2 linked regions of the Mus musculus genome follow. The protein of the gene in region 1 purifies or fractionates together with the protein of each later gene. This does not show direct contact. Links are inferred from orthologs where the notes say so. Each region holds a gene or a part of one and is shown on either strand. Other genes may lie near its edges.

Evidence for each region.
Region 2: the proteins of Prkag2 (region 1) and Prkaa2 purify together in Homo sapiens (affinity purification with mass spectrometry; 5 studies listed by BioGRID and IntAct, counting the BioPlex papers as one, with this or other methods). This does not show direct contact. The link is inferred for Mus musculus from reciprocal best matches to the Homo sapiens genes PRKAG2 and PRKAA2.

The regions. Positions count from the first base shown.
Region 1 is NC_000071.6:24,870,097-24,873,744, reverse strand, and holds part of Prkag2 (5'-AMP-activated protein kinase subunit gamma-2), read left to right. Parts: intron 1-1,331; exon of another isoform or gene 1,332-1,417; intron 1,418-2,085; coding exon 2,086-2,251; intron 2,252-2,652; coding exon 2,653-2,690; intron 2,691-3,648. UniProt on the Homo sapiens protein: AMP/ATP-binding subunit of AMP-activated protein kinase (AMPK), an energy sensor protein kinase that plays a key role in regulating cellular energy metabolism.
Region 2 is NC_000070.6:105,107,073-105,110,820, reverse strand, and holds the start of Prkaa2 (5'-AMP-activated protein kinase catalytic subunit alpha-2), read left to right. Parts: upstream 1-922; 5' UTR 923-1,022; coding exon 1,023-1,116; intron 1,117-3,748. UniProt on the Homo sapiens protein: Catalytic subunit of AMP-activated protein kinase (AMPK), an energy sensor protein kinase that plays a key role in regulating cellular energy metabolism.

The DNA.
Region 1 (3,648 bases):
TGCACGGTGTGTTCTCCAAGCTGACACCAACTCAAATGCTTTCCGTCCTAAATCTTTTAGTCCTAGTATTAAAATAATAAAACCAGGGCATGCCCCCTGAGGACGGGCGATGTGTCAGGCTCGTGCAGGGGGTGGGGAGAGTAAGCAGTTTGTACCTCAGTCTCACTGAGGCCCATGGCATGCATGGAGGGAGCCAGGCTTTAGGGCAGAAGTCGCTTGTGGTGTGTTTATTGAGGTCATGGTTTTAGAAACATGAGCAGAAAAACACCATCCCTGGGGTTACCTCATTCTCAGCTGCAGCGGCCAGAGACTCCCAAGGCAGAACAGATGTGAGCAAGAGATACACCGTAGTGGACTTCTGTGGTTTGTGTTCCCGTGGCCTGTAGTATTAGAGGAGGCTCCAGGGGAGCGGGAATGTGGTCATTAGCCAGGAGGCACAGCAGAGGTGTTGATGGCTCAGAAAGGCCATTTGAAGTGATCTTTCTAAAGGGAACACTTGAAAGCGTCTTCCAAGGAGCTTTTCCAGGGTCCTGTCTGCAGTTCCCCATCAGGAACCAACTAAGCATACAAGTCTCCAGGAGGGCCCACGTTGATCTTCTGGAGGCAGCCTTGCAGAGCCAGGGGTTTACAGAGGTGTCAAGGGTTGAGTGATTGAGACGTGTGCGGGTGGTCCAGCTGATCGCATAGTTTAACTGAGCATCCAGAGACAAATCGCATTTCCTGATTAAATTGGGAGAAGAATAATTTGCTGAAATGCCCGTGGCATTTACTAGGCAACTAAAGAAGAGCGAGCAAGGAGTATTGTCCGTCAGTTGGTAATGGGGAGTGTAGAAGCGTTCTTTATTGAGACATCTCAGGAACCAAGGGTTTAGGCAGAGGGGCAGGTGCTCAAGGCCCACGGTTGCTAGGCTGGTGGCTCAGCCTCTGGAGCCCATGTGTGACAGCTGGCCACTGGCAGGCACTGTGCTGGGGGCTTTGCATGAGGTGTCCTTACGCAACGAAGTCCCCTGGTGCTGTTAGCACTTATTCATGGTGTCACTCATCTAATCTGAAGAGAAGGAAGTTGCCTTAATTTGGGCAAATATGGCAGGTAGAAACTTGCAGCCAGAATATTCAGCCAGGAGTTCTCAGATAGAAAAAAAAATACATATTTTTAAATAAACAAACACGATGGCCTGATTTTTACTGGACCAGGATCGTTCTGGGGAAGGGTAGTGATACCCTCCCCAGCATGCAAAAGGCAGGCAGTGAAGCGGGGATTTCTGTGGTGAGATGGATTAGGTGACCTAATAGGTCTCTCTCTCTCTCTTTTTTTTTCTCTAAATTTCTAGGAGTCTCATGATTTGAATATTGATGAACTCTTTGACTTGAACATTTTGTTTCTTCTAATTGTTCATCTTTTCCTGATAATTATAAGGTACACCAGGAAGATGGCATCAACTCTGCCCTTTATAAAAGGTGGATCTTTGAAACCATAGACATTTTTCTGTTGTAGTCCAGCCTGATCCTAGACTTTCTGCAGTTTACCCCTCCTCCTCTGAGGTAGTAAGAAAAGGGAAGTGCATTTTCAAAGGTCTGTCTGCTTTGTTCAGCCGGCCTGTTCTTTGTTAATAGTGAGAAATTGGGTCCATCCGGGAAGCGTGCGGTCATTGGAGGTGGGAACAAGGAGCAGCTTAGTCGTAGCCAGTCAGGCCTAGGATCTGCAAACACACAGGGCTTCCTGTCGCTTCAGATCCCAGGGCTGAATAGAAATCACCTAAGAATAAAGGGGTCACTCAGTGCTGGCTTTCAGGTCTTAGTTTCCCAGACAAACCTGTCGATCTCATCTTCCTACGGTTTTGGTTCAAAGAGAAGGGAAACTGAATATCTAGAATCGCTTCTTATACAAAGACAACGTGTGGTTAGCTGGTTTGAGAGAGACAGTTCTGATGGATAACACTTTCATGACAATGAGACACCAAGCTAACTGTTAGGAAAGACTTGCCTTTAATTTGTTGAACATAGTTCTTCATTCAGATCTGGATGTATGCACACTGAGAGGTCATGCTAGGGTTCTAGAACATTCTCACGTCTCTTCTTGCTCAGATGTCTGACATGCCAAAGCCTGCCTTCATGAAGCAGAACCTGGATGAGCTTGGAATCGGAACGTACCACAATATTGCCTTCATTCACCCAGACACTCCCATCATCAAAGCCTTGAACATCTTCGTGGAGAGACGGATATCCGCATTGCCTGTGGTGGATGAGTCAGGTCTGTGAGGCCACGCCTGCTCCTGGGCCTGGATGAGTGGGAAGTGAGCGAGCAGACAGCGGAGGAGGAGCGAGTGCTGGGCTGCGGCTCAGTAGTCATCAGTCAGGAAAATAACTTTAAGCAGGCTCCGTTTTCAGTTTACATCAAAATACCCTCTCCTGCTTACTTCTAAACAAGCCCGTTTGTTTTACTGAACACTGTTATCCACAGTAGTTACCTAGTTAAGACTGAGATAGATTAGATAGATAGATAGATAGATAGATAGATAGATAGATAGATAGATAGATAGGTAGCTAGGTAGATAGGTAGATAGGTAAGTAGATAGGTAGATAGGTAGATAGATAGATTTTTTTTCATTACTGTTCCTAAAATGTTTTTCTAACATATGTTTTCATTTTTAGGAAAAGTTGTAGATATTTATTCCAAGTTTGATGTAATTGTAAGTATTTTTTTCATGTTTTTAAGCCTGTCATTCAGAATGCATTTTAAAACAAATGAAAACTTAAAATACATTAAGTTGTTTATTCCATGATGTAATAATTCCTGACCTTTCCAGTGAAAGTCTTGGAGAATTTCAGTCTCCTCTCAGGGGAGCTATATCTGATAATATTGCTTTACCAGTGAGCCGTGTGTACATCTGTGATGGTCTTTACTCGGGCACTCTGATGGGAGCTCGTTGTCTCCGTCCCTACAGCCCGTGAGCCTTATTTGACCACATTTCTTTTGGGGTTGCTCTGCCGATGGGGGTGCTCAGTGAACACATGAGCTGGGCCCTCATCAGTGCAGATTCCTGCTCAGGTTGGGAGACACTGACCTAAGAAGACAGCCAGGAGACTAAGATCTAGGCCCTAGTCTCCCGCGGTTCTTAAAGCCAAGCACGTCGTGACTGCTGACCTGAGTCCCCTCACTGGTGCCTTTGCCTTTAACACTGGCTGCCCACTCATCTTTAAGATAGTTTTTGAGTTTCATACTGTGTCCAAGAAAGGGAAACTGGTTTGATAGCGGAAACGGACACACATTTTGCTACAGTTTTGACCCTGCCACTAATTATGGTTTTGCAGCTGTTTTTCGGTTCAACCAAAAATAATTTCATTAATCCAGAAATCTTTTCATTAGAACCTTGGATGAATGGACCCACTAAAATCGGTGGGGGTCATGGGAGACTCCGTGGATTTCTGGTCTTCTTGATGTTAACAAGTCCCATACTTCCCGAATAGCTCTGGGAACCCACTGGGAGACTCTGATGCAGGCGCCCTCCCTCTGAGGCATGTCAGCCTCGGCAGATGTCAGTCCATTTCTCAAGAGACACTGCTTATGTGGGGTGTAGAGCCTCCATGGACAAGAGTGGGAGGAGCCTGGCAGAAAATACTTGTTGCAGGAAATATTAAAAAAAATAG
Region 2 (3,748 bases), on another chromosome or scaffold:
CATGGCCTCCGCATCAGCTCTTGCCTCCAGGTTCCATGCATTGAGTTCCTGTCCTGACTTCCTTCAATGATGAACAGTGCGGTGGAGGTGTAAAAAATAAACCCTGCCCTCCCCAACTTGCTTTCTGGTTATGGTGTTTTATCGCAACAATAAAAGCTTTAACTAACACAATGAGGAAGGCCTGTTATAGATAAAATGAACATACAGGCAGAAGCAGAGGCAGAGACACATGGTCAGACTCAGCAGGGCCATGTGAGGAGAGAGAGGGAGGGAGAGCAAGAGAGGAGCCAAGCCTAAGAGGGGTGGGTGGCCTGGGCTAAGAAACTGGCACAGCCAAAATGGCTGAATTATCTAGGGATCAGAGGACCTGAGGGAAGGGGCAGCTCAGTCCCCGGGCTGGAGAGTTCAGGGTAGGGGTCAGGGTATGCCAGGCAGGAGGACCCTATACCAGGTGGGGACTAAGGGATGCTGAGAGAACCAGCGTCACGTCACCTTTGCTATGTTAATGCTAGGCGTCTCCGTTGGCAGTTTGTCTGGGGGTTGAGACCTAACAATAACACGACCAGGAACTACAAAACAATGGGACGCCATCTGAAGAGGGTACGGACTAGAACGTTCCCAGACAAACAAACCTTGGCTAGGGGGAGCGTGCCAGGGGCTAGGGGCGGGCCGCCCTCTCCAGCGCCTTGCCCTCTGGTCCCGAGGCATGGCTCACGGTCTACACCCCGTCACCCCCACTTCTCCTCAGATTCTCCTTCCATCTCGGTCGCGCTCAGATTCATCCCTTCCATCTTCACCGCCCTGGGCTTTTCTCGGGACGCCTCGGCTCTGCTCCCCCAGCCTGCGTCCACACGCGCCGGGCTGCGCTCTCCCCACCGCGCCCCGGGCGTCCCCGTCCCGCCCCCCGGGCCCGCTGCACTGTGGGTAGGCGGCGGCGGCGGCGGTGGCGGCGGTAGCGGCGGCGGCAGCGGTAGCGGCGGCGGCGCTCAGAGCCCGCGGCAGGGGGAGCCCGTGCGCCGAACATGGCTGAGAAGCAGAAGCACGACGGGCGGGTGAAGATCGGACACTACGTCCTGGGGGACACCCTGGGCGTCGGCACCTTCGGCAAAGTGAAGAGTGAGTGCAGCGGCGCGGGCGGGCGGGCAGGCGCGAGCGAGGCCGGGTGGCAGGTGGAGCGCTCGCGGGCGAGCCCGGGGCACAAGCACCTGGAGCCGCAGCCCGGGCGTGGGTCCGGGGGGACCAGCGGTTATGGGGTGTGCCTTGGCGGGGGGTGCCTCCGAGCGCCCTGTCTTTTCTCTATGCCTCAGCTCGCTTGTCTGCAGAATTGGGCGATTGGCCCAGTCCGAAGGGCCCCGAAGCGTGGGGAGGATGGGGGAGTCACGGCGCCCGCCGCGAATTGGGAGGGGGTCTCCCACTGGTGCCAAGTGCTCTGCGTGGAGCCTCATCTGTGGTCACACTTAATCCTTAACGTGGCACCGGCCGGGTGCGGTCCTCACCTTAAAGGTGAGAGAACTCGAGCTCCAAGGCTTCAGAGACACGCCCAAGGTCACAGAGAATTGGCAGATTCAGGGTGAGGTCTAAGATGTCCTCCAATTTTGGCCTTGCTGATGAGGTCCCTGCCTTTCCCAGATTCTTCCCTGTCCCAGTCCTTTGATGGTGGAGTTGACCAGGGGCATGCCCATAGCAGAGAGGTGCCAAGTCCCTCTGCTGGGTGTGTGAAAACGCTGGAATGCAGCGGGTTGGACAGAGAATTTAGGAGAACCCCTAGCTCTGTAGGTTGATTGGTTCAAGGAAGGATTCTGTGGTCAGGGTCTGGGAGAAAATGTTGCTTGGTGATCGACTTTGGGTCCCCAAGAGGTCAGACTTGCTTAGGCAAGGGGTATGTTTGTTGGTGAAGGGACTGCTTTGGGGGTTTTGGAAAAAAACTGGTTGCTTTTGAAATGTCACACTGCACTAAACTAGTTAAGTATTAAACTTTGCTTTGCTTTCTTATTAGTTAATAAGAGTCACATGGGGTTTGATTACCCGTCCTTTTAACAGAACTACAGCTCTTGTTAAAAAAAATACTTGGTAGCAAGTTGGGAATTAAAAGTGAAACATTAGCCTTTTGTTGTTGTTGAATAAATATCGGGTAAGCAGTCTGGGGATTTTATGCTGAGGCTTATTTTCTACATTTTAACCTCCAGTGAAGGTTTGAATAGAAGGGAGAGACTCCTCATTCCTGCGAGGATTAACTCCTCTTGGTGTATCTAATACCGGTTTGTACAACTAGAAAACACTGAATGCTCTCACCACATGCGGGGAACTGTTCTGGGCAACGGAGTTCTAGGAAAGAGCAAAACCTGAGCTCTCCTGGGACTTACTCGCTATGAGGGAAAGACAATCAGAATACATGTGAAAAGTATATGGCCCCCTCCTATTGAGAAAGGAGAACAGGGGAAGGAAGGATGGAGCCTTTTGTGAGGTTGGCAGATTATATTAAGGTGCCACGTGGCCTCACGGAGTGGGTATTTTTGTAAAGACCTAAAATGTTTGTAAAATTCTTTGAAGTCTTGTGAAGTTGGGATCTTGTAAGAGTTGTGGATAGTTGGGAGATGATAATGATAGAGATTAGATAATGATGTTGCCACCATCTTTGCAGAGAACTGCTTTGCTGTGGCATTGCAAAGTTATGCAAACGGCTGCTTTGCCATTTAGGGTAAGTTATATAACTTAGCCTATATGCTTTCATGTTCTGCTAAGTGCTTTTGTTTGCGCTTGCTTTTTTTTTTTTCCTCTTGATGTAGAGTGGAATACCCGATCTGATTTCTCAGGCCATTGTCAAGGGATAGTTCGAAAATATTTGGTTATAGTCTCTGTCTGCTTCTAAGCGCCAGCTTCCTAAAATATAAATGGAGCAGAAGGGACCTTTGGCTTATGAGAAAAATCTTTTTCCTGGAGAACCCTGCTGGAACGAGCTGTTTGGATTTCTCCTGACCATTTTATCTTCCCTAAAGAGATATTCCCTATGTGGTGTGATAGTTACTATTAATTGTCAAATGCACACAAGGAAGAAACACCTAGGAAGGGAAGCTTAATGAAGAATTATTTAGATCCAGTTAGCTTCTGCGCATGCTCAAGTGGGAAGCCCTCCCCCATTCTGGGCAGTACTGTTCCCTGAGTTTGGGTCCTGCGCTCTGTTAAGTATAGAGGGATGGGCGAGCATGATGAGCAGGCCTGCCTGCATGTGTTCTCTCTCTCTGCTGGTGACCGAGGATGTGCTTCACGTTCCTGCCTTGACTTCCCTCAAACGGACTGTAGCCTGGAAACTGAATTAAAATAAACCCTTTCTTCCCTAAGTCACTTTTAGTTGGGGTGTTTTATGACAGAAATTAAGCTAGGTCAAGTGGGTTTGTAATCAATACAGCTGTAGTTGTTAAGTCAAGGGGCTGGTGAAACAAAGTATATGCGTATTAAGAATACATTTTAGGGCTGGAGAGATGGCCCAGTGGTTAAGAGCACAAACTGCTCTTCCAGAGGTCCTGAGTTCAATTCCCAGCAACCACATGGTGGCTCACAACCATGTAATGGGATCTGTTGCCCTCTTTTGGTGTGTCTGAAGACAGCTACAGCTCATATACATAAAACAAGTAAATCCTAAAACTTAAAAAAAAGAGTACATTTTAATTTATTATTTGACATTTCATACAATGTGCTTTAATCAGAGTCCCTGCCCTTTCTCTTTCCAACTCCTTTAATGCCCTCCCAC